4 linked regions of the Drosophila melanogaster genome follow. The protein of the gene in region 2 interacts with the protein of the main gene of each other region in a pairwise test. Each region holds a gene or a part of one and is shown on either strand. Other genes may lie near its edges.

Region 1 (8,370 bases), on a different chromosome or scaffold from region 2:
CAAATCGAATATAAATCAAAAGATACAGTCAAATTACTGCAGATTGTTTTACTAGCCGAGCTGATAACAAAAATAAAATAGCAAACTGCAAGATAATGTGCAAACACTTTGACCAAAATGCCCTTATCAATATTAAGACAATTGAGTGGCAACAAAAAAAATAGAAAATAGAGTTGAAAACAAGGTGATAATTGTTTGGTTACGAAAACGACAACTTGTTCGCTATGAACCCAGTGTTTAAAATTCACTATCAAAACAAGTGAAGTTGACATACACATGAAAATATATCTTACTTAAAAGTAACTTTTATAAATAATAAAATAAATGTTAATATTATTTAAACTACTGGCACTTACGCCTTTTGGTGACTTCATCAGCATGCATTCACGACTCGAGCGGTTGGAGCTGCTTTTCCGGGGACACCTATTGACGCTCCTTGGCTTGCAGGCCGGAGTCGTGGGCTTTCGGGAACACTTGGGCACTATTTTCTTGCGGCCGCATCCCATATGTTTGAGTTTCTCCGATTGACGCCGATGACGCGAAGTGGAGCTTTTGCTGAGACACCGTTTCTGGTACTGCAGGGTATTAACGAAGGGCAGAAGATAAAGTTCGCCGGTCAGGGGGAAAGTGTGTAATCCCTAGGAACTTACTTTCGATCGATACTGATTCTTTTCTCGCGAACTCAATGCATTCCAGTACCCCGCTCCCTGACGCAGTGACTCCTCCATTTGGAGGTGCGGGGATTTAAGATGTATAGCCACCGCGTAACTTAAAAAGCCGTTTGGATACGGTGCCATCTCTACTTATACTTTTCAACTAACGTACTGAAATTTAGGATGCTAAACTAAGAATTACGTACAAAACATTCGAGCTTGAAAAATTGAAAGGTACAAATTTGAGTTGAGTTGCTGTTGCTAACTGATAGAAGTGAAATCTCAAAACTACTTGTTTAATAATAATTGCCAGTTTCTGGATTTGATACACAACTCTTCGTTGGCCTTAGTTTATTATGATGTATATATTACAATTTGGTTAAAAACTGTTCGCTTAGCCTAGCAACAAGCGGTTTAACTTCAAAACTTACAGATAATTTGTCATTACACTTAGCCGTATTAGATAAGCGAGAGTCGTTCCGTTCCGAGGACCCTTTCTCCAAATTTATATTGCTTCGACTCCTAAATATCAACTTACGAACTAATTGATTTATATTCACGTTGCGCATGGACCTGCATCCATGCCAGTAACTTGGCTAATACTGGCCACTCCCGCCGATCCCCAAATCACCCCGATCCCCCCAAGGTCCTTGGCCAACTCCTCCCTCGATTATCCTCGCCATTCCCCAAACACGCAGGTGAAAGGATTTAGGTTTTGGTTTGGTTCTAGTAGTAGGCCTGCTTTATGGCCGCACTGGTGATAAGGAAAGCGGAGCCAATCAGCATGAAGGTGATGATTTTGAGAGCACTTGGTCTACCGGAAGAATCTGCGAAAAGCGTGACATTCATAGATCATCCTTACTCAATTGGTTTTGCAAGGACACTTACTTTTCTTATTGGGCATCACGCGAATGCATTGATTCTGATTGGCGTTCGCCGAGTAGCCCAGCTTGCACTGGCACACGGAGTTGCGGCACTCGACATTCTCGGGATCCTTTTCTACATAGCACTCGGTGGCCTTGGTGCACGACTCTCCCAGCTCTGCAAGATTGCAACATATTAGAATTATTACAAATAATTAAAGAAAGCTTAGCGACTCAATTACCTCGCTTCGTCTCACAGACTCCGTTCTTAGCATGCTGCTCATCGTTGCATCCACACTTGCCCTCCGAATTGCAGCTCGCCAGGAGCGGCTTGCACTGCTCATCCTCGACGCACTCGTCCTCCAGCTCCTCGGCTATAATGAAATGTAATGTGGGGCAGGGCATAATTTTGCTGCTTTGCATTTCAGCTTCTGAGTACTAACCCTCTTTTAGGCACTCATCCTTAAAGTGCACGTATCCCTTTCGGCACTGGCAGGTGCGCGACTGATCCTCCTCGTCCTTCTCCTGGCATTCGGTGTTCTCAGGTATGCAGTCATCCTCCACCGAGCAGTCGGCACCGATGCCACGCATACACTGATCGTCCTTCTCAAAGTAGTTGTCCGCACAAACGCACACGCGATTGGAGCAGACGGAGTGATCCACAGGACAGCCATCGTTCGACTCACACTCGGCTCCCAGGCCACGTTTGTATTCGCAGAGCTGCTTGATGGCATCGTAGAGAGCGTACTCCTCGCAGGTGCACCTCCTCGGAATCTCCGGGTGGCAATAGGAGGCGCCAAATGGACTGCATTGGCTGTTCGAGGTGCAGGATAAGTGGTATTGAATGGCTGTTTTGATGGAAAAGGATATATCTTAAGTGCGATTCAGCAGCTAGCGTTGGAACCACCTACGTTTTCTGCAATTGCGCAGATCCCGCTCGTAGAAATAATTCTTTTGGCAATTGCAAGTTTTGGTCAACTGATCGAACTCGTACTCGCACTCATCCGTGCTCTCCGCAATTTCCCCCAGTTCTAAAGAATTTTCATTTCAGTTAATTTCATTAATAGAAGAATTAAATTGGGGGAAACCCAGTTTACTCACCGGCAAAACATTTTCCATTGCGGGCATAGTAACCCTGGCGACATAGGCAAATATTCTTGGAACAAATCGAGTGCGGCAGACCCGAGCATGTCTTTCCATTATCCGTGCAGCTGCTGCCATCTAAATGGGAAAAAAAATAGTTGAAATATATTTAAGATTGCCTAAGCATTGAGAGACTTCATTTTTTTGGGGGCATTCTTGGATACTCACACTTCTTCTCATCGGCATCGTCGTCATCGCGGCTGGAACCCAGCGTGGAGTAGGTCTTTATATCCTCGTCATCGAATCGGAAGAGGGCGGGCAAGCGGCGTCTTTGGCCATGGGCGTGTCTCTGGTTGCGGCTGGAGTTGCGCCTGCTACTGGTGCTCGTGGAGGCGGTGGCTGTCGTTGTGGTGGTGGCGGTGGCCGCATTGCGCACACTTCGTCCCACCTCCCTCAGCTCGTACTTCTCGATGCTCGTCTGGACGGCAATCTCGTGGGATCGGGGCGAGATGAGCGGCTCGGTGTCGCCATTGGTGAGCTGGGCGAAGGACACCTGGGCGGCGGCATCGCTGTGAGTGGGCGGGGGGGCGTGTACAAAGGCCTTGGTTAGCTGCCTTCGGCTACTGAAAGCGGTCTCCTGTTCCGGATCGGCAGTCTCGGTGATCGCCTCGGCTGTGGTTGAATCATCATCCTCTGGCGAGCCCGGATTGGTGGTCTCCGTTTCCTCGGTCTCGCCACCCGGAGTCGTTGTGATCTCGTCCACATAGGTGCATACTAGGCCAACGCACTCGACACCGGCGCCCAGTTCATCACAGTCCGCGTTAACGACGCAGGCATCGTTTTCTTCTGAAAATCAGGCATATATAGAGCCATATAGAGCCATATATACCATTTACAATAACTTCTCGACTAACACATACCCATTGATTTGCGACGGCAGATGTTTCCATATCTGTTATAATAGCCATTTGCACAGCCGCACACGTTTTGCTGACAACTTACAGACGCACGATCGTAGCCAAAGTAGCAGTCCAAGTCCTGTTTAAAATCGAAAAATCATGCGAAATTATAAAGGATATGTGCACGGTTGATTGGGCCGTGGTCTCACCGTTTCGCAGGACTCGCCGAGTCCGTTCAGTGGGCGACACTTGCCACGCAGATAGTTCTGGCCATCGGCGCAATCGCAGACCCCGGCTTTACAACTGGCCCCCGTTGGCATAAGATTGCACTGGACGCTGTCGTCGCACTTTTCACCAATGAGCGACGTGGCCAGGCATTGGGTGAAGTTCTCCGCGAGCACCGTATCGAATGTGGAGCACTCGCACTGGCCGCTGGCAAAATCGCAGCTAGTACCGTCAGCTGTGCAGTCCGCCTCGGTTTCACATGGCCAAAATACGGCCAACACGCCGCCGTCGCCTGAAATTGGTTAAGAAATGGGTTAGGACAGCAGCCTGTTTGGTTGGTTAAAAATTAACGTATCCACGGTGCCTGTGACCACACATTCGGATGTGTCGGGGCGACCCACTTTCGGCTGACTCTCAATTATTCAAAACGGGCTCCAGTTCACACACTTGATTAAGGAGATTTTCATTAACTTTCGATGGGTTGGGACAATTTTCCTAATCACCTATGTACCATAGAATCCAATCAGCAAAATCCTTAAAATATTATAGAGACTAGTTCAAAGAACTCACTAAAAACTGGAAGTGAAAACTAGATTTATTATGTTCTATAACATATGTATATTGGTGGATATTCAATATCTTCTTGTCTCGTTTTTAAAAATAAAATTTGTTACATTTTCTGTCCCAGCTTTAAACTGATTATCATTTACATTTGAAAATCGCCCTACTAAACCTCTTCCTTGATCCGATAAATTTGTAATTGGCTAAACATCCTGGTCAATCTAGGCAGTGCCACGCCCACTTATCTACCTGTCCAGCTGATTATTACCCTTACAAAAGGCAACTCTACTACCCTTTACTATAAGCAAAAATTCCGAGCGTCGCGACGTGCAAAGCTTCTTTTGGCACGCAACGTGTCGGGGCCGCAATTTATTACGTATACGCCAACGACTTCCGGATGAGGTTGCGGCATCGAAAAAATTTCCATATAAAACAGTATCAACGCGGCAACAAACAATGCGAACGCGAAAAATTGTAATAACAATAACAATGCCACCGAAAAGAAAAAAAAAAGTGAACTTCGCTGGACGCTTTGCCACTTTAATTTCCATTTTCCGTGGCCGGCAAAACAATTTCTCAAACCGCAAAGGACCTTGGGACCTGGACATTCGTGAGAGTCCTTTCCACCGGGGGATGGCGTTGCTCGTTGAGTGGTGGGGTCAATGGGGCAAAGTACTTGACCTTGATTGCGTTTGCATTAATTACTTGTGGTTCTTTAATGTTATGACTGTCGTAGGCCCACATTTATTTGTCCACTAATTTGGCCAACTGCCCTTTCGATGGCCTCACACCCGATTAAACGTGGCTTTAATTCAATTACCGGAAATCGCTCGCCACATTGGGCCACATGATTTCCCTCGACTTTTTTTTTCATTTCGCTCTCGCTATTTATTATTATTTTTTTCCTTTTCTGTTACCTTGAGGACTGAGAACCGCACAACAAAGGACGCCGAGCGTTAGAAACCATTGGAAGTTTGACATTTTCCCAAGCTGAGAGCTACTTTCCCGAACTGCTGGCTAATATGGCCAAAAGGCAACTGACCATTTCGAGTAGGGATTGGTCTATATCGAGTGCTCGATTTCGGTTAATCTTATCTCTATGTCGGCCATACAAAAAAAAAACACTCATACATCGATGATTAACCGGTGGCAATCGGCGGTTTTCCCTGATAATCCTAATTTGAATTATCGCAATCTGCAGTTTCAGTTAGCCCAAATGTCACCGGAATTGGTTGCCAGGGCTGCAGCCACCGTGATTACCCACTTAGTTGGTTCTCCGGCCATTTAGAGTGGTATCGGTGGTATCAAGAGGGCGCTTATCAGCGTCCAACACCTGCTTTGGACACCTGTTCTTCGGTCTAATGGTAGTAGTAAAACGTTAACCCCATCTGGTCTTTTGGCAAGAGTTGAGCTGATAACGCTGAGACTGCAGTATGGCTATTTTGTTACTAAATAAAATAGTTAATCAATGAATCACTCATTCAGATAGCTCATTATGTTTACTTTTTGTCTCATTTAATTGACAATCAAGGCTGTCATTGTAATTGTTTGTTAAATTTTTAAGTATTCCTTTTTTTCATACACTTATATTTAACTAAGTATCTAGTATACATCACTTTTACATATATACAGTTTTCTCAGCAGAAAGGCTGACTATTTTCTAAAATGCTTAAAAAGCTTCGACTATTTCATACCCATCTACCAAGTCTTACTTCTTGAAGGGCAACTACACGTGTGCCCAAATTTGGTTACTATCTTCTGAGCGTGCGCCTCGTAGTTTTCGGATTTCCCCCCGGTTGACGGCTATGTAAATTACTAATTGTAGTGTATTTATAATTCAATATGAATTATGTTTTAAAAATAGCAAAACGCCGTCGGCGACGAGTGTCGCAAGAGGCGACCTTGAAAGTGTCCACAAATGAAATGGAAAGCAATCGATGTGAAAGGGGTTAATTTCGGGGCTAATTTAACGCGGCCTGTCGGTTAATCAGGCCGCATTAATCATTGCAAGCTGCAATGTATTAGCTTTGAATCATCCGAAATGGTAACTCCTTCAGATTTTCACCGTAATGAATTGGCCTTTAAGGGCTGTGATGGTGCGTAAGTCTCTATTTGTTTGTTGCTTTCTCCTGACCGCGTTTCAATTTTCCCGCTAGCTGGCATTGTTATTGTTTGTCGCTTTTCCCTTCTGCCTGTGTGTGTTTCTGTTTTTGAGAGACATAACGTAAAAGGACATTTTGTGGCTATAAAAATGCTTTGCCACGCACGCGATGAAGTGAAAAGAGCAGCGACAGGTGCAAGAGAAATTATATCCCTTCCACCCCAAACTACACACACCATACCGTTTTTTTTTTTTATATACATTTCGGATATGGATTTGTATATGTATATGGCCCAAAGTTATTCAGTACAAGTGCAAGGACGCACTTTGAAATTATCGACTTTGTAGTGCCCCATTTAAGTTCTGACTGGGATTTACCGCTACTCACATTTGGCTTAAAGGGACGCTCCTTTCGCTGTTGATGGCTTAATCCTCGTCGCCTGGTTTCTATATGGCACACACACACACACAATGCACTCTCCTTTTTGTTTTCGCTTATCACTGTTAAGTGGTGTTTTTTTAGGCCATCAAAGGATCACTGAATAATTGGAAAGTATCATTGATTAGAAATGCTGCCAGCTTTGGGCCAACATCTCGAGTCCATCTTTAATCAACTAATGCAGACGTCGCCGGTGGTGTCGACAAATATACTAATACTAATAATAAACTAAATTAGTGGATTTCAAGAACACATGCCGCTGCGGGGCTCGTTAGTTAGCTGGGAATGGATATGGGGATGGTTATGGTTATGGGAGTCGAATTGGGAATGAGTTCCACATTCGATATGTAATAAATGACGCCCTATTAATGGCTATGTATTGGTTAGCTGGTCAGTGACTTCGGTGTGGTTATGCATATAATGGATTGAAATACGTTAAGCGTTAGCGCGCCGAATGTGATGACCTCCATGACCCGTCGATGGAAATAATGAGTTTTCACATCTCGCACCCGGGAATCGATACTCGTTAAAATGTTTAAAATTAATTAAGCCTCAATGTGCACAATTATGTAATGCAGAATTTTTAATTAGTTGTATTCACGACACACTCTAAGCATCTGCATTATTTTGTTTTTGAATTTAAGCTGATTCATTTACTTGCTTGATAAAATGTTTTATTTTTTTCGAATTAGGCACTCGATTAAATATCACTGCATGCCGTTACGCGCACTCCGCTTTTTAGCTCTCTTCGCGACTCTTTGGCGCGACTTAAAAACCGAGGAACGCAACTTGATCCTTTCGTAGCGAGCATCAAGCCGCTACTAATGGCTTTTTCTCTGGCTTCGTATGTTTACGACTCTCGCAAAGTCCAGCGAATGGAGAGCGGAGTGCGAAAGCGAGAGTGAGAGCAGAAGAGAAAGTGAGAACGTAAAAGCAGGACGAAGGCGGAGAGTACACTCGTAGAAATGTCGCAAGGCTGCAATTTTGACCGTTAAATCTATAGTTTCAATATTAAATAAAAAATATGTTTCTTATAAATTTTCTATAAACGAAAAATATTGAGGAATAATCCAAGAAAAATTAAGAAATGTAATGTAAAATATATTATAATTTATATAACTCTTACTGCGGCTTATTGCTTTATTAGTAATTGACTTAGGTAGACACAATTTTTCTTGAGTGTCTTGGAGCGCGAGAGATACTTCAAACGCGACTCGTGGCTCAGTCGCGTCTTCGGGCCGTAATTGTAAAGGTAAGGCCAACTGGTAACTGGTATCTGTGTTTCGACCCGCTGGCAGAGCAACAATTTTCCGCCCTTCAACTGTAGCGGTCGCGTCATGAAAACTATGCACTATTGGAGGGCTCATAGGGTTCTCGCAGCGGAAAACCCACTCACTACTTGCGAAAATAAATTACAGAAAATTAGTCTCAAGCACTTAGACAAGTTTTTACTACAAAATGACTTCCTCCCAAGAAAGCGGGCCACAGAATTTCACATAAGCCACAATAAATCCCTGCCAGAAAATGAAGAGTCACCCAATTTGGG
Region 2 (6,524 bases):
TCACATTCATCCGCAGGATTGCGTTGCCAAGCGAGTATGCCATATTCATACAGATACCCAGGCCCACTTTAAAGGGTGCACTGGGAAAAAATAATACTACAAAAAATCATATTAAATCCTGGACTACATAGCTGAAAGAGTTCAATAGTATGAAAAGTCTAACAATTCTCACTTTCTAGTTTCTAGATACATTTAACAACTGCTATTTTACTGAATAAATTAAGATAAAATCAATTGAATTTATTTAAATATCTATATAGAACTTGTAGAAACATTACTTAAACAAAAACCTTCCTGAATAAGAATTTTTAAAATGAATTAAATTTATGTAGAATTTATGTTTGTTATCTAAATAAAAGGTATGGATATAAGTTTTATGGTAGTGAACAGCTAAGTTTACCGATTTATGCTTCTATTTCGCTTCTATGTCATTAAAATAAATTTGAGAATAAGCCCCTACCAATTGCCCACATTTTTTCTCGCCGTGCATTGAATGGCCAAAGGGACTGGCTCCAAAGTGCGTTTTTGCTAATGCGAATAAGTTGCTCGGTTTTTTGTGGGGCTTGCTTATTGAATTAAGTTGGGGCGCAGAATACTATGGTTCGCAGTGGAACAACTCTTTCGCAACTCAACTGCGGTCTCAATGTTTGCATTAAAAATTCATAAATCAATTATGGAATGCACACTGCGAAATATTAGTTTTTTCTCGCATCATTTACGGGCTTGTCCTTTTGCGTCCCAATGGAGATGGAGATGGGGAATTTGGGGGGGCTTCAGATGGAGCCTATGTGAATCCAGGACTCGACATCGTCGCGCACTTTTTGCTGCCTTAGAATTTTAGTTATTTTGCCATGAAATGCGTGAACAGCTCGCATGGGAAGTTAAGAATTCGATGTGCGATGTGCCTGCAAGTTCTTTTGCTACTGCCAACTGTCAGCCGTTGATTAAATTTATATATTGTCGTTTTTTTTTATATTTGGAATGCCGTCTTGGCGTCGAAATTAAAATTAAATTAATGAGAACCCGAGTGTGTGCACTGCATAAATTTGGCACCCGAATGCCATATCAACTGACCAGTCTTTCATTGGTGGCTTAGTCGCATTTAGTGGCTTTTAGTGGCTTTAGTAGACGTATGCAAATGAGCCGAAAACGATGACAAAATTCTGTTGGCTCTTAATCGATTGCAAGGCAAAAGGCTTTTTGCACATCTCCAGCCATAATTATAGTCGATAATCTGAACGTTCATTATTTTAATTATTGTAATTTACCAAGTTTGCATATTATAATAAATGGTGCACCACTCCGCCGGCGGCTTCATTAGCATAAATTTATGCCAGCCACCGTGGTCAGGAATATTGTATACATACACACATATATACATATGTATATATATAAATGTACATAAATTGGCAGCAGGATAAACGCACTAGCATTGACGCATTTGACCACATAGTAGTCGTTGAACATGGCTTACACAGGCATTGCAAGGGCTTTGTAGCTGCAAGTGTTTCACTTCCCCCCGTTTGGGCCAACTAATTTGAATTACTGAGCTCCGAATACCGGGTAATTATGACCAGACCTCGGACGATGCACTGCCACCGGAATGCCCCACCAGACCCCCCCCTTCGGTTACCAGCGATTTGCATCCAAGGCGGTGACGGCTGTCCTAAATTGTGAAACATTTCTTGGCGGCGGGGCGGCCATTATGGCTATATCCGCATATATATATATATATCTATATATATATGTATGTATATATATAGGGATCCAGGAGCCCCAACCGGTGCCAAAGTGCTTGAATATTCATGTGCAGTGGCTGCTCCCCAAACCCGCCGGCTTAATATGTAAATTTAAAGTTATTTCGCACCGTCCATTATTAAAGATTTCCCTTTTCGCACATGCCAAAATATTCAACTGACTCAGTTTCTGGTTTTATGAAACATCTTTTGTGTGTGTGCCAAATATTATTTTAGTCCGCACTAAATAAATAGTATATTCAAGTGTCTCTTGAAATGATTAAGTTATGGCTGCATATTGAAATGGCACAGCTGTAAATCAAAATATAATAAATACATATAACGAAATTAATAAATTTAATTTCATGGCCAATATAAATTGTTATGACTAAGCCATCTGTTTTAAATTTAAATTTAAGGCACCCAGTAGCAATAATTCAGAAATTTGCTCTTTCAACTGGTTTTTCGCATTCTACTCAATTTAAATCAATGTATTTATAAATCTTCAGATTCTATTCACAATAATTATTGTAAGCAAAGTGCTCTTTATAATATGGTATTTATGGCCTTCAGTTTGAACACAAATTATGAGATTACAAAAAAAAATTTGGATAAGGTTTTTAATTGATTTGGAATTTGTTACTTTTAAAATTGAATATATTATTGACAAAATCTAAAGGGAGCAACATTTTCAAAGCAAATATAAATGTATATATAAGATACAATATTGGATCCATACTAAAAGATTCCTTAAAATTGTTGTCTGTGCTAAATAACCGTTTAAAACTTAAGTTAAGTTTGCTTACTAATCAATACAGACTTAAAAAAAACGGTTAACTGTTAATCTCTAAACAAACCACCGGCATAAACCCACCTGATTTGCCGTCGGGTAGCCAGCGTATCCAAACTGCGCATATGCAGCCATTGTCTCGCTGGCTGAGTTGGCCTAAAGAGCGGCGACACGCGAGTTCACTGTGCCGGGGCTTCACTGTGGGGCGTCCCTCGTTGTTTGCTTGTTGTTTTCTTATTTTTTTTTGCGATTGCGGATGCGGATGCTGGCGGAGCCCTCGAAAAAGGGGTGGCCAAGGATGTGGGGATGGTGTTGGGTGCTTAAGGGAGGTTCAAGTGGGTGGCCAGTGGGTGGTTGGGTTGGGTGGCTGGGCGGATTTGGCGTGCGTGCTCGACGGCTAAGCACTCTGGGCGCTTTTGTTGTTTGCTGGCTTGTTGGGTGTTGTGCTATTGTTGTTGTTGCTGCTGCTGGCTGGCCTTGTTGAAAATTGATAAAACAAATTGTCGATGTCGAGCAGTTCTGTTAATGTCGCCGGAGCCGGAAAATGTTTTGTTTGTTTTGTGTGACTTTGCTGTTTTATTTCGCTCGTCCGTTTTCATCCGTTTTAACTTGATTTTTATTGACTCTGTTTGACTCTTTGGCGGCCGGTTACCAAAATGGTTAAAAAAAGACACACACAGACGACAGCCGGGCAAAGCAAATTGGATTCAAGTGTTTGCCGCAAACAGATTTACAAATGTACGCGGCTCTTCAGTCTTCGGTCAAAAGAATGTGTCAGTTTGGTTTGCGAGTTTACCCACTGATTGGTATTTCAGTTTTTTCCACACTGTATCGAAATTTTTTAAAGTCAGCTTAGGAAACTTTTTGATATGTGATCCATAATAATAAACATAGTTTCGAATTTATGGCGAGTTTCTTTTGATATTTAACGAGACATTTCTAGAGAGGTTTGCCTGTCTTTTCGGGTCCCTTTTTTTCGTATTTACTTTTATCATAACTATTGCACGCACTTCATTATCTACGTCGGTTGCATCTGCCGATCCGATCCGCTGGCAATGCTCCAGTAAAAACGGGTTCCGTTCCAACCTGTCAGCGGTATCTCCACGGTGACGACGGCAGTGACTGCGACTCAATAACCGACTGTGACTTATCCGGTGACTGTAACTCGTTCGTCGGTACTTTCGTTTCGGCCTTTTTTCGAGTTTACTGGGCGACGCGGCGGAGATGCCAAGATGCGAAGATGCGCACCTATTCGCGTTTCGGAACAAACTGTTTTTCGGCCGCTCAGCGAGCAGCGCGGTTGCGTGTGACAGAGATGGCAGCAGCGATGTAAACGGGATGGCTGCAGGGCCGCGAGAGAGCCAGCCAGTTAGGAGCTCTCCCATTGGCCAGCGTTCCAATCAGACTGGCAGCCACGAGCAGCAGCCTTCTCGCTTGCACGTCTGTGAGTGGTCTGGTAACGAGTGAGAAGGGTAGACTCTCTGGGGCTGTTGTTGCTTTGTTCGTTGAGAACGCCCACCTCCAAGCACTGGAAAGTAAGTCGACGCTCTCTTTCTGCCGACCCCTCTCTGTCGACGTTGGAAGCGATTTCATGGCGGACCACGATCGAAAGGCTTCCCAATTGGATATTGTAGCCAAAGTTGGCTAAGAATTTTCCGATTTTGATAAAAAAGTACAATACAGAAATAATTGGAAAAACTAGAAAAGAGTTGCTGAAGATTTGCTATCATAATAACTGGTCAAAATACGTCTGGGCATACATTCGTGGGAAGAATTGGAACATTTTTCTACAATCTCAAAAAATCAAACATTAATTTAATTAATTAAATATAATGTTTAAGAAAATTTGCAGGCATATAAAGATATGTTTTTCAAGACGAGTGGGTATACAATCTCTTTAATATTGAGTAGTTTAGTGTTTTATTTGATCCGCTTCCAATTATTCTTTGAAATTTTAAAAGAGAATTTTCAATATTAAAATAACAAAAACATAAAACCTTTTTTATAAGCCCAGCTGAAATAAATATAATCTATGTCACATCAAACTACAAAAAATAACATACAGCAAACAAATATAAGCATGTTTTTATATTTTAATAAACATATTTGCTTTTCTATCTTGGCTCCCAATAAACAAAAAGTTTGATATTTTAATGTGCATTTAAATTTTGGGTGGTGTAAGGACTTGGAAAATCTAAAAAGTAATCAAATTAAATTATTTTAGAAGGTCTGCAAGTATATAAAGCCAAAATCTAATTTTATTTAAGAAAACTAATCCGTACGTTATTGGTAACATCAACAACATTTAATCATTACAGTGTGTGTGTGTTTTTTTAAAAATAGCTTGATATATGCATTGTACATTTCCCATAAAAGTGCTTAATGCTCCAATATCTCAAGGCCAAATCACGAAAATCGCAGCTAATTGGGACTAGCTAATCGTAACAAGATACCGAAATAGGAGAAAAAACAAACAAACAATCCGATTCCATTCGATCCAAGGAAGGGGGCGTGGCCGGTCCATTTGAGGGTCCTCGAGTCGAGTGCGTTCTAATTAATGGTATGTGGAGCGGGCGGGGTGGGGAGGGGAACTGAACGTTTTTGGGGAATTTTTGTAAAATGAGTATTTTGATGTTTTGGGGTGTTAACGCGCTGCCATTTATTATAAATGCGAGTGCATCTCAAAGTCAAAAGAGACGCACATGTGGCACTTTTTTCGGTACTTACAAACGAACGCATATGTAAATGTGTGTGTAGCAATGTGTCATTTGCATAGGAAAATGAAAATGCACCGGGTATTTTTGGGAAAAGTGTCCGAATGCCCAAACTCCTGATCGGTACTCAATTTCTGGACGCTCTTGGCGGCGCCACGAAATTCTACACCCACTTCATGAGTCTGGGGATCTGGAATACGAAAGGATTCACATGAAAGAAATGCATTTGAGAATAAAGAATTCATCCATGAAATTTAAAATGTATGCTTTTAAAAATTGAATTTCTAAAGAGCCAAATTGTGATTGGTTTAAAAGTTGCAAATAGTTATTCTTCAATTGAAAACAACATAAATGCAATCCAATCATACCAAAACGTTATGTAAAGTAATCATATATTAAAACAATTTCTGAATCATCAAATAAGCAGGACTATACTCGTGTAATTTTTTAAGTTTCGATATTTTGAAGATACACAAGATGAACATTTCAAATAATCTATATATAATTTATATTTAGCATAATTATAAGCTTATATTAAATAAATACTAAATGTTTAAGAAAATATGTAAAATGAGTATCATGCTAATTGGAGTATATTTTAATTGAATCGAATGTTTTCTGCAGTGTTTACCTCCTTGAATCAATATCTCTGAGTGATTTGTTTGATGACTTCGGACATGTGAACTGTGGCACATGTCGCATATCCTTGGGAGCACGTAGCCCGTGCCCATAAGTGTCCTGATCCCAGGATTCCCATTGTCTGAGCTCTGCTTTCATTTAGTGCAGCACACACACTCGAACATTGCTCACTCGGTGGACAGGACATGCAGATTATATTGAAAACAATTTAAATGTAGATTTTGGCGTTAAGAGATATTATTCTTCGACGCCAGGTGCGTTGGTTCAGAGACACTCGCACACACACTCCAACAAATTTAACTGCTAATGTGTGTGAGTGAATGGGTGGGCGTTGAGTGGGTGGAATGGATACAGTTGCACAGAGAGTTGCAGGCAGAATATTCACCACCCCACCTCCTTCCCCAGAAAGGCTTCTTACTTAAGTGTTGTTTCATGTCACCTGGAAAGCATTTGGACATGAAATTGTCGCTTTTCAGTATGTGGCACACACACAGATACTCACACATACAGTTTCCTCTCGGCGAAAAATCTTCTGCCGCACAGACACACACACACACAGACAGACACACATGCAAAGGCAAAAGGATAGTGCTTCTGGTGAATATAATAAAATCCTTTTCGCAAAACGATAAACGATAAAGTCAC
Region 3 (4,442 bases), on a different chromosome or scaffold from region 2:
AAAAAAGAAATACTTAGATTCTTCTTGAGTGTGCGCATAGCCAGAATTCTATGAAAAACCCCAAAGTCGTAGGCCGAATTGTGGCTGCGGATGAGGCAGCAAGAAGTTGGCTCTGCCATTAGCATTGGTGGGCACGACGACGACGAGGAGGAGGTGGAGGAGAAGGACGAGGAGCAGGCCGAGTCAAAATCACAGAAAATCATCGACAACTGGCAAATGTGTGAATTGAATTTTCAAACAATTTCGCCCGTGCAGGGAGTGCAGTGCTCGTCATCGGATTGCTATCCTGGTTTCGGTTTCTGCTCCTGGCGCTTTTCCCCTGCGCGGCGCATTTCCCCGGCTTTCCCGCTGGCCACGATGGAAACGTGCATGATTTGAGATTTGATTTGGGCGGCGGCCACATTACAGTCGCTAAACCTCGGCTTCCGTCCCGTCGTCCTGGCATCCTGCGCTTCAAAAGGCGCGTTTTAAACATTTCGCTCACGTCTCGGATGTTTATGCCATTAGCGTTTAAGTTGCCCATACAAAGTGCGACTCGTAGGTAAGCAAACGTTCCTTTGTTTTGGCTTCCTTGCCTGTTTTTATTGTCGAGAGACAGAGGTAATCGATGCTCAGGCTAGTTATTGAAAAAATTATCGAGGAAAACCCGAGGTACAACTCAAATAAATTCAATGAAATTGTTACTAGCCAGCAAATAGCTGTTGCTGTTCATTTGGACAAGTACAATTTATTTATTATCACATAAAATGCTTGCTACAAACTTTGAAGCTTTGTGAAAGCCCAAAAATATGCTATATACAATCACGAACAAATTTATCTGCACTCTATGCAACACGCTGAGCAGCAGCAGTGGTAACATTCCATGTCTGGATACAGATCCTGTTCCTCAACCTGTTCCTGATCCTGTTCCTGCTCCTGGTCGTACATCCTCTTCCGCCTGGCTGACCGATACAGTCGCCGGATGAGAGCTCCATATGGTTTCCGCGCCATCAGGTGAGTGGTTGTCTTGTGTATTTCGTAGACGCAATTCGTTTCGAGACACACAAAAGGCTCCTCCACCTGCAGGATAGTTTCCGATCTGAGATTGGGTACTGGCATTGGTAGCAGACTCCTCTGTTTCAAGATATTGATCTTGCTCTTCTTGACCACCCTCCTTTTCTTGGCAGGATTGGGTGCTGTAATGGCACCTTGGATCTCCGCCTCGAAGGATTCCTGGCGCCTGGAGGCCTTGCTCTTCAAGGCCGAAACCGTTTTGTATCGGTTCTGGATATCGGTAATGTTTCTCAAGGTCTGCTTAAAAGCAACCTCGACTTGCTCGACTTCCTGCAGCGTATTCCACAGATTCTTTTCCATAATTTGTTCACGAGAAAATTTTATACAATAAAAAATTTGAATACAAGAATGCACACTCCTCCCACTTCAAAAGATCATACGAATATACAAATCCTGTTCGATTGAAAAATCAGGGAAGCTAGATGTGTGATTTTCTCGTTGCGTTGTCATAGGGAAATTCCGATATGACCACCAAGTACTCACCTTATCGCAAAACAGGCTGATAAAATGTTTTAATGGGAAAACCAATGCCTCCAGCAGTCTTTCGTCACTATATATAGCGTGGAAATCGGGGTAATACTTTAGTTCAGAACGGAAATCGCTTTGGAAACATGCCACCACCACCGCACCAGCCCCACCAACCGCACCCACCGAAGGGTCCTGCGCATCCTGGGGATCACCAACCAGGACCGCATCCCCCTCACCACGGAGATCCGAAGCCCCATCACGGACATCACTAGGCCCATGGACAAGGACTATAAATAAGATTCAATTTTATACAGAACAAAACAAGATGGATACTTTTTAGGGAACTTAGTTTCTAATAGAAAGTCTTAAAAACTCTTCAAACCAAAGAAATAAAAGCCTGTACAAAATACATAGCTCTACTCTTTTCTATATCTTCAATGTTTATGATCTTGAATTGGTGATACTGCTTAATGCATTCTAAGCTTCCATTAATTTGAACAAAGCATACATATGATTTGAAGATCTAAATGCTTTTTAAATTATAATACACGTCCTAAGTGCAACGTACTAAGCTTAAGAATTTGTTGCTGATTGTTGCTGATTGTTGCTTACAAAAATAAAATATTATAACATCTCCATATTGTTGTACTTATGAACTACATGCAAAGTCGTCATTAACTTATTCTTTAAGTCACATATAGACATATCAGTAAACAATTCGCTTGTTTGTTATTACTAATTTCGAATGTCATACATTTGTTTTTATTGAGCGAAGTGTTGTTGTGGGAAAACCCGAAACTTACTTATCAACCGAACTGGGCTCGTCTTATCTGAAATTTAGATAAGATTACAACGTATTCGAATCATTTTCCTATAAATGGTTTGACAGGATAGGCTTTAGCTTAGTACTCAACTAAAGTCAGAAAAGTCAAGATGCCACCTCCACCGCACCACGACCACCACCATCATCATGGGCCACCACACCATGGACCTCCCCACCATGGGCCACCGCACCATGGTCCTCCACACCACGGGCCACCGCATCACGGGCCACCACACCACGGACCGCCGCACCATGGACCTCCGCACCACGACCACCATCATCATGGACCACCACACCACGGTCCTCCAATGCATCCTCGATGAGAACTATAATACAATATAAGCCGAATTTAACGTTATAAACTGATATGGAAAAACTTAATCGTTAACTGTGATTAAGCCACAAACTAACATTAAAATATCTTCACTAACTTCTAGTTAGTTTCACCAAGAGCAAAATGTTTTTATTTTAGAAATTGTTTAATTTTATAACACCATTATAAAGATACTGATTCTAATAAGCAATTAGAAGAATATTGAAGCAAGAATTGATTAAGTATGATTAAGTATCAAAAAGCCAGCAGATAAGGTAGACAATTATATATAAAAGAAAGTCCCTCTCCACTAGAATGCAGATAAGATTACAGCCTACTGAAACTATGTTACTTTTGTATAAAAGGTCTGGCAGGAGTGAGCCAGTTTAGTGTACAACAGAAGCCCGCCAAGCAAAGATGCCTCCTCCACCACCGCACCACCACCACAACCCGCCGCCTCATGGGCCACCGCCCCACGGACCACCGCACCATGGACCTCCGCACCATGAACCACAGCCCCCGTTCCACACGCCAGTGCATCCGATTTACCACGAACCTCCTCACGGAAACAGCTCCGGCTACAATCCTCCGCCGCCGCATGGTCCGTATCCATATGGTCCAGGATACGTGGCCCCAGGACCTCCAATGCATCCGCGATAAGAACTGAACTGTAATCTAGATCGGTTAATATAGTGTGATATCAACAAATGTACATTTGTGTGTGATTAAAAAATATGCTGCTTTTAAATATATAAACTAACTTTAGTTAGTCACGCCTATGTGTGATTCAAGTTTTATTACTTGTAGCTTCTATGCCAACAAACAATCCCATTTCGAGTATGATGATATATGCGCCTAATAAGATAAGGACGGTTTTTTGGAATTCCCATAGGACCGTCATAAAGATAATCCATTGAAAAAGTCGTCATTCTTTAGGTGCGTTATGATAGCTTATTTTCGGGTACTATCAAATTCTTGAGGTAACACGTCATTACTAATATTTCACTAGGAAAACAATCAATCAATCAGTCAATCAATCACTGGATTCTTTATTAATACGTGGGCTTATCGTATTAGTCGAATGTCATGAATTCTTAACTGAGCATATCTTTGATTTATTGGCTCTTTTCCATTCCATTTGTTCAAGAATAATATTTTTGTTTTTATTTTGAACGCTGAACTATTAGTAATCATGCATATAAACCTGTTGTAAACCTTATCAATGAGTTACTTCAACTCAACGCTAGATAAAGCTGTGCAATCTTATCGATAGGAAATACGCATTTGCTTACATTAGTCAGAACCTAACTTAGATTGTTGAGGTGATTTTTGGGGTACGCCACTGTTGATTTTTAGGGAAAGTACAAAGGGATGATATAATATATAACTTTAAAGACTTATTTAGAATATAACAGTATTTTAACAGTGCTACTTAATAATGGGAGCACATAGACAAAATTTGTTTTTAAAAAGAATATATTACTCATCCGCCACGTTGGCTGATATGGTTATGACCTTCTGGCTGGATAACTAGTGTAATACATGCGATTTTCGCAATAGACCCACCCCGTTTGTGACCGCAATCACTCAGGCGTTTAATAATTGACTGCATCTGCGGTCGAATCCCAATCGAATCGGGGTGGGTGGGTTGTTTAATGGAACAGACCCGGGTAAAAATCAAGCAAACGGCAAATAAAATTTATAACAAATCTAACACACATACATCATTTTGATATGGCCACGGACACGTTCCGTCCGTCTATTTGCTTAAGGATGGATGCTTCT
Region 4 (5,417 bases), on a different chromosome or scaffold from region 2:
CCCGAGGGCAATGAAATGCAGATCTTCCGAACCAAGTTCGCTGGCTGGGATGAGGTAATGGCCGTGGACTTCACGAGAACGGCGAAGTCGGTGGCCAAGACAGGGGCTAATCTCACACAGTGGGCTCGGCAGCAGGAGACGCGCACGGATCTTGCCGCGCTATTTATGCCCCGACAGTCGGCCATGCCATTGGCGGAGGCGGAACAGTTGGAGGAGGAGTGGAACTACGATCTGGAGATGATGGAGGCCTTTGTACTGGAGAACAAGAAGTTCGTCCGGCTGCCCGAGGAGGAATTGGGTCGCTTTTACACCGGCGAATGCTATGTGTTCCTCTGCCGCTATTGCATTCCCATCGAGGAGCCCGAGAATGGCTCCGAAGATGGTGCTAACCCAGCCGCAGACGTCAGTAAATCCAGCGCCAACAATCAGCCAGAGGACGAGATCCAGTGCGTCGTTTACTTTTGGCAGGGACGCAATGCCGGCAATATGGGATGGCTCACGTTTACCTTTACACTGCAGAAGAAGTTCAAGGCGATGTTCGGCGAGGAGCTGGAGGTGGTGCGGATCTTCCAGCAGCAGGAGAACCTCAAGTTCATGTCCCACTTCAAGCGGAAGTTCATCATCCACACCGGCAAGCGGAAGGACAAGGCGCACACCGCGAAGGGCAAGTCGCCAGTTGAGTTCTTTCACCTGCGATCGAACGGCGGTGCGCTCACCACTCGCCTTATCCAAATTAATCCGGATGCAGTGCATCTCAACTCAACCTTCTGGTGAGCAAATTACCAATAATTTATTACTGTGGGTGGTAATAATCACCCAGTTTTTTTTTTTGAGATGTATGACAAGTGCGATTTTATTGGATCAACATTCTTGTCTTATCGTTGGTTGAAACTGAAATTCCTGGAAGCCTACGTGATATGACACAGTATTATTTATATATATCCAAAAGATAGCGAACATAGTAGTAGTCGCTCCAATATTTATATTCCATACGCATTATTTCAGCTACATACTCCATGTGCCATTTGAAACGGAGGACGATTCGCAGTCGGGGATTGTGTACGTGTGGATAGGCAGCAAGGCCTGCAACGAAGAGGCCAAACTGGTGCAGGATATTGCCGAGCAGATGTTCAACTCGCCGTGGGTGAGCTTACAGGTGGGTTCCATGTGTTAATGTGGTTCAACCATGTAGTGGGCTGTTTTGTGGAATATATTGTACATATGTTTATATTAAGGTACACGCTCTTGTTAATCGTTTCTTTTCATCCATCCTTTGCAGATTCTCAACGAGGGCGACGAGCCGGAGAACTTCTTCTGGGTGGCGCTGGGCGGCCGCAAGCCTTACGATACGGACGCCGAGTACATGAACTACACGCGGCTGTTCCGGTGCTCCAACGAGCGCGGCTACTACACGGTGGCCGAGAAGTGCGCCGACTTTTGCCAGGACGATCTGGCCGACGACGATATCATGATCCTGGACAACGGCGAGCACGTCTTCCTGTGGATGGGACCGCGTTGCAGCGAGGTGGAGGTGAAGCTGGCCTACAAGTCCGCCCAGGTCTACATCCAGCACATGCGGATCAAGCAGCCGGAGCGGCCGAGGAAGCTCTTCCTCACGATGAAGAACAAGGAGTCGCGCCGTTTCACCAAGTGCTTCCACGGCTGGAGCGCCTTCAAGGTGTATTTATAATTTTAGCCAACTGAAGGAGCATCGTCGAGTAGTTCTTTTAAATTTCCCTAATTCATGCACCGCCGCTATGTGGCCATTTAGGTCTCCGCAAGGAAAGCGCCTAAAAGGCGCTAGTTTTTGTCTTGCTTGTCTCGATTGGCGCCTTCGAGTCCCTGTCAGAGCTAGTGAATCGGCCTCGGGAAGTGCATTTATTAACCAGAAGTCGAAGAGCACGCCTGCAATGTGAGTTTAGTTTTATGAAATGAATAGAGGCACCTTAGAGGTGTTACCCACTAATCTTAGCCCGTTAGAGGAGCCCCATCGAGTTGTAAATTGGTCATTAAGCATTAAGTTAGACCTCTGTTAGCCGGATGCGAATGTTGTTCGCTGGGAAGATGCGCTGGGCAGCTGCCGTGACAGAGTAGCTGCCCCAGAAGACATGACAAAGCAAAATTGTATCGAGGGAAAAAGAATGAAAGGGCCAAGCCAAGCCCTTCCTTCAGGTCGTGAGTGAAGATCGTGTGTTTGTACTTTTATAAAATGTATTTAATTGTTTTGTATAATTAATTTAAATTTTTTTATTAGCTCACTTGCTCCCGCCCCTAACTAAATAATTAGCTAACTCCAAGAACGCCAAGTATTCGCCCACTCCCTGCGAGAAAACCACATGAGTATATTGAATGCAAATATACATACATATGTATGTATATCACATATGCCTACAAATACGCAATATATATATATATATATATATATACATACGCTGAGCTGAGAGGATTACTCCCCTGTGCTAGTCCTTTTAAAATGTTAACCTACTTAAAGCTAGCCTGTAATAAAGTCAAGGAAGCACTAAAACTAATTGTACAAATGCCCACGTATTTATTTTATTTTTATTAATCCCCTGAATAAACATTAGAAAAATTGAAATTCCTCTATTCGTGTCGCGGATTGAAGGAGGTATTGGAATAGATTTAATTAAGTTATGTGCTAATTTTTCGGCAAAAGATACATATAACATATCAGAATAGCACATATCAGCACATTATTGTTAGTTCGCTGCTATTATATTGGCCTCAGCTGTATCTGCGGTTAGCGAGTGCACCCACCGCAGTTAGCACGTGCCAGCACCTTATTTGGCGAATTCGCCACCATGTGTATCGATATGTCGATGGCAGGCGCTATCGATTTTGATGGATGTTCTCAAAGCGTGTTCGGCGCGGTCACACTGGTGGTTTATTTTATTCCGAAAACTATTTGTAATTTAACTCAAATTAAGTGAAAACAGCATGCCAGATGCCGAGCAACTACCGGACGGCTGGGAGAAGCGCACTAGCCGCTCCACAGGTAAGCATCGTGTGCAGTCCCGCTCGTGCCATGCCGGCGGTTTTCCGGCGGAATGCGGAACCGGCACGCTAAACTGAACCTGCACTTGATTGATCATGATTGATTTTGCAGGAATGAGCTATTATCTCAATATGTACACAAAGGAGTCGCAGTGGGATCAGCCCACAGAGCCGGCGAAGAAGGCGGGCGGAGGATCCGCCGGCGGCGGAGATGCACCGGACGAGGTGCATTGCCTGCATCTGCTGGTTAAGCACAAGGGCAGTCGGCGTCCCAGCTCGTGGCGCGAGGCGAACATCACGCGCACCAAGGAGGAGGCCCAGCTGCTCCTCGAGGTCTATCGCAACAAAATCGTCCAGCAGGAGGCCACATTCGACGAGCTGGCCCGCTCCTACTCCGACTGCAGCTCCGCCAAGAGGGGCGGCGACCTGGGAAAGTTCGGCAGAGGTATGTATATCTCCCCACTGTGCATTTGTCACACGTCCAGGATCGAGTGGTCCTCGATGTGTGTCCGTTTAGGAATAAGGCGCTTCCCACTTGAGGCGCAATCCAGAAACAGATTGGTACTTCCACTAGAGGCTCTGATTGTTTTCAATATTCAAGAGAAGAGAAGAGAAGATATATCGACCACTAATAGATTATAGATGCATAGTTATAGACAAACACTATTTGCAATTGGCTCCGCGGCATTTCTTTTTTAATCTTCCTTACCTTACACATTTTTGTACCTATAACTTCGCGAGCTACTTGCAATCGTAGAGTTTAGGCCACCCAACCGACCTGCAACTGCTTCTAATTACATTTCACATCTCACAGGTCAGATGCAGGCGGCTTTCGAGGACGCTGCCTTCAAATTGAACGTCAACCAGCTGTCGGGCATCGTCGACAGCGACTCCGGCCTGCACATCATCCTGCGCAAGGCATAGACTCATCGAGCACCGACCCACAGCACAACTCGCGTCCCTTCACATGAATAAAACGGAATGCCCAGCCATTTCAATATAGAATTATTTATTGTATTTTAAAATGTTAGGTCTTGTCTAGGCTAGAAGCGTTTCTCATTTGCCAATGTCCAGTTTGGCGGCCAGTAGCTTGGCTCCGGGCGTCTTACGGTCCGCGAGTATCTGGCTAAGGCTCCTCTCCGCCGCGATGGCTTTCTTGCAGTCGTCCAGCAGTGCGGGACACTCCTCCACCAGCTTGAGCAGGACAAAACAGGCCCGGTTGACGCCCAGCCAGGCTTTCAGCTGAAAAGGGAAAGGGAATCGCAATTAGGAATTGGAATCTGAGTGAAGCTGTTTACTTTGCGACTACTTATTTATTAGACTAAAGCTAAAGGAATGTCGAAACGTCATTAAATAAAAGAAAAAACTCAAAAGTACGATGCGTTTCTCATGACTGGGAAAAAGGAAGATACCCTCGGTTACCGGATGGCATGATTTTTGGGTACTTACCACATCGGAGGACAAGTTTTGGAGTAGCTGTTGGCTGAACGGGGTGCCCTCTCGCTTGCCATCGTTCTTGAGTATCTTCTTCAATACAATGTGCATGCCGGCCTCCTCGATTCCGGAGACCAACGGAGCCGCCGGCTCCTCCTCCTTTGCCTTTGGCTTTTTGGGCTCCTTTTTGGCTTTCTTCACCTTGGGTTCGGCATCATCTGCGGCCGCCTCCTTCTGCTCCTTCTCGTCTCCTTCATCGTCGCTCTCCTCATCTTCATCTTCATCTTCATCTTCGTCGTCGCTGCTGCTCTCGACATAAAGCAGTTTTCTGCGCTGTTTGGTGGCCTGGGCTATAATGGCCTCCACGTCATTGTGAGGCTTCTTCTTATCCTGCGGCTGCGGACCGGCGGCGTCTGCTGAAATGCGCCACTCCGGTTGGACGACGACTTGGGCAAGGGCCGAAGCAGCCTTCTCATAGGACTCGCCTTGAACTAAAAGGCAGAGATGCAAACGTACATTAATATCGTGAACATATTCTTGTAAATCCATATGTATGTTTCTGCTATGGCTTTCAGAAGTGTGCACTTACTGTGATTAAGAATATCGCCGGTGACCAGGCCGATGTGGCTGTTGGACAGCCAAAAGGCGGCATCCTCGGCGATGGACTGTGCAATCGGCGCCTCTATCTGCTCAAGGATCTCCTTGCGACGCAGCTCCTTCTCCTTTTTTCCAAAGGCTAGACCCTCCTCCACCGTGCGAATGAACTCTGGATGGAAGCATGTCGTATCACCCGGAGCCACCAGCCATTGAATCACTCGTCGGCCGTACGGGCTGCTCATTAGCGCCTTTAGATCTCCGTGTAGGTGATCGTAAATTGCCTTCTTGGTCGCCTTAGTGTCGTCCAGTGCGTTTAGCAGCGAGATGAGGAACACGTGGCCGTGCTCATGGTTGGCGATCTTTAGCAGGTGCTC

What was found.
Region 1: the proteins of caup (region 2) and CG7381 interact in a two-hybrid assay, tested with the Drosophila melanogaster proteins (one large-scale study listed by BioGRID).
Region 3: the proteins of caup (region 2) and CG5011 interact in a two-hybrid assay, tested with the Drosophila melanogaster proteins (one large-scale study listed by BioGRID).
Region 4: the proteins of caup (region 2) and dod interact in a two-hybrid assay, tested with the Drosophila melanogaster proteins (one large-scale study listed by BioGRID).

The regions. Positions count from the first base shown.
Region 1 is NT_033777.3:12,966,804-12,975,173, forward strand, and holds CG7381 (uncharacterized protein), read right to left. Parts: upstream 5,325-8,370; 5' UTR 5,266-5,324; coding exon 5,202-5,265; intron 4,016-5,201; coding exon 3,708-4,015; intron 3,638-3,707; coding exon 3,520-3,637; intron 3,446-3,519; coding exon 2,828-3,445; intron 2,738-2,827; coding exon 2,618-2,737; intron 2,548-2,617; coding exon 2,428-2,547; intron 2,365-2,427; coding exon 1,960-2,364; intron 1,891-1,959; coding exon 1,759-1,890; intron 1,695-1,758; coding exon 1,542-1,694; intron 1,481-1,541; coding exon 1,380-1,480; 3' UTR 972-1,379; downstream 1-971. Other genes in the region: grsm (granny smith), read right to left, coding at 357-575, 651-797.
Region 2 is NT_037436.4:12,606,906-12,613,429, reverse strand, and holds the start of caup (caupolican), read right to left. Parts: upstream 3,800-6,524; 5' UTR 2,662-3,799; coding exon 2,611-2,661; intron 1-2,610. UniProt on the Drosophila melanogaster protein: Controls proneural and vein forming genes. Positive transcriptional controller of ac-sc (achaete-scute). May act as an activator that interacts with the transcriptional complex assembled on the ac and sc promoters and participates in transcription initiation.
Region 3 is NT_033779.5:1,197,786-1,202,227, forward strand, and holds CG5011 (uncharacterized protein), read left to right. Parts: upstream 1-2,885; 5' UTR 2,886-3,074; coding exon 3,075-3,317; 3' UTR 3,318-3,435; downstream 3,436-4,442. Other genes in the region: CG5139 (uncharacterized protein), read right to left, coding at 814-1,353; CG43348 (uncharacterized protein), read left to right, coding at 1,665-1,793; CG43349 (uncharacterized protein), read left to right, coding at 2,455-2,667.
Region 4 is NC_004354.4:21,342,496-21,347,912, forward strand, and holds dod (dodo), read left to right. Parts: upstream 1-2,862; 5' UTR 2,863-2,955; coding exon 2,956-3,013; intron 3,014-3,124; coding exon 3,125-3,457; intron 3,458-3,826; coding exon 3,827-3,936; 3' UTR 3,937-4,068; coding exon of another isoform or gene 4,069-4,254; 3' UTR 4,255-4,363; downstream 4,364-5,417. Other genes in the region: fliI (flightless I), read left to right, coding at 1-770, 1,006-1,156, 1,280-1,690; peng (penguin), read right to left, coding at 4,069-4,254, 4,462-4,937, 5,036-5,417.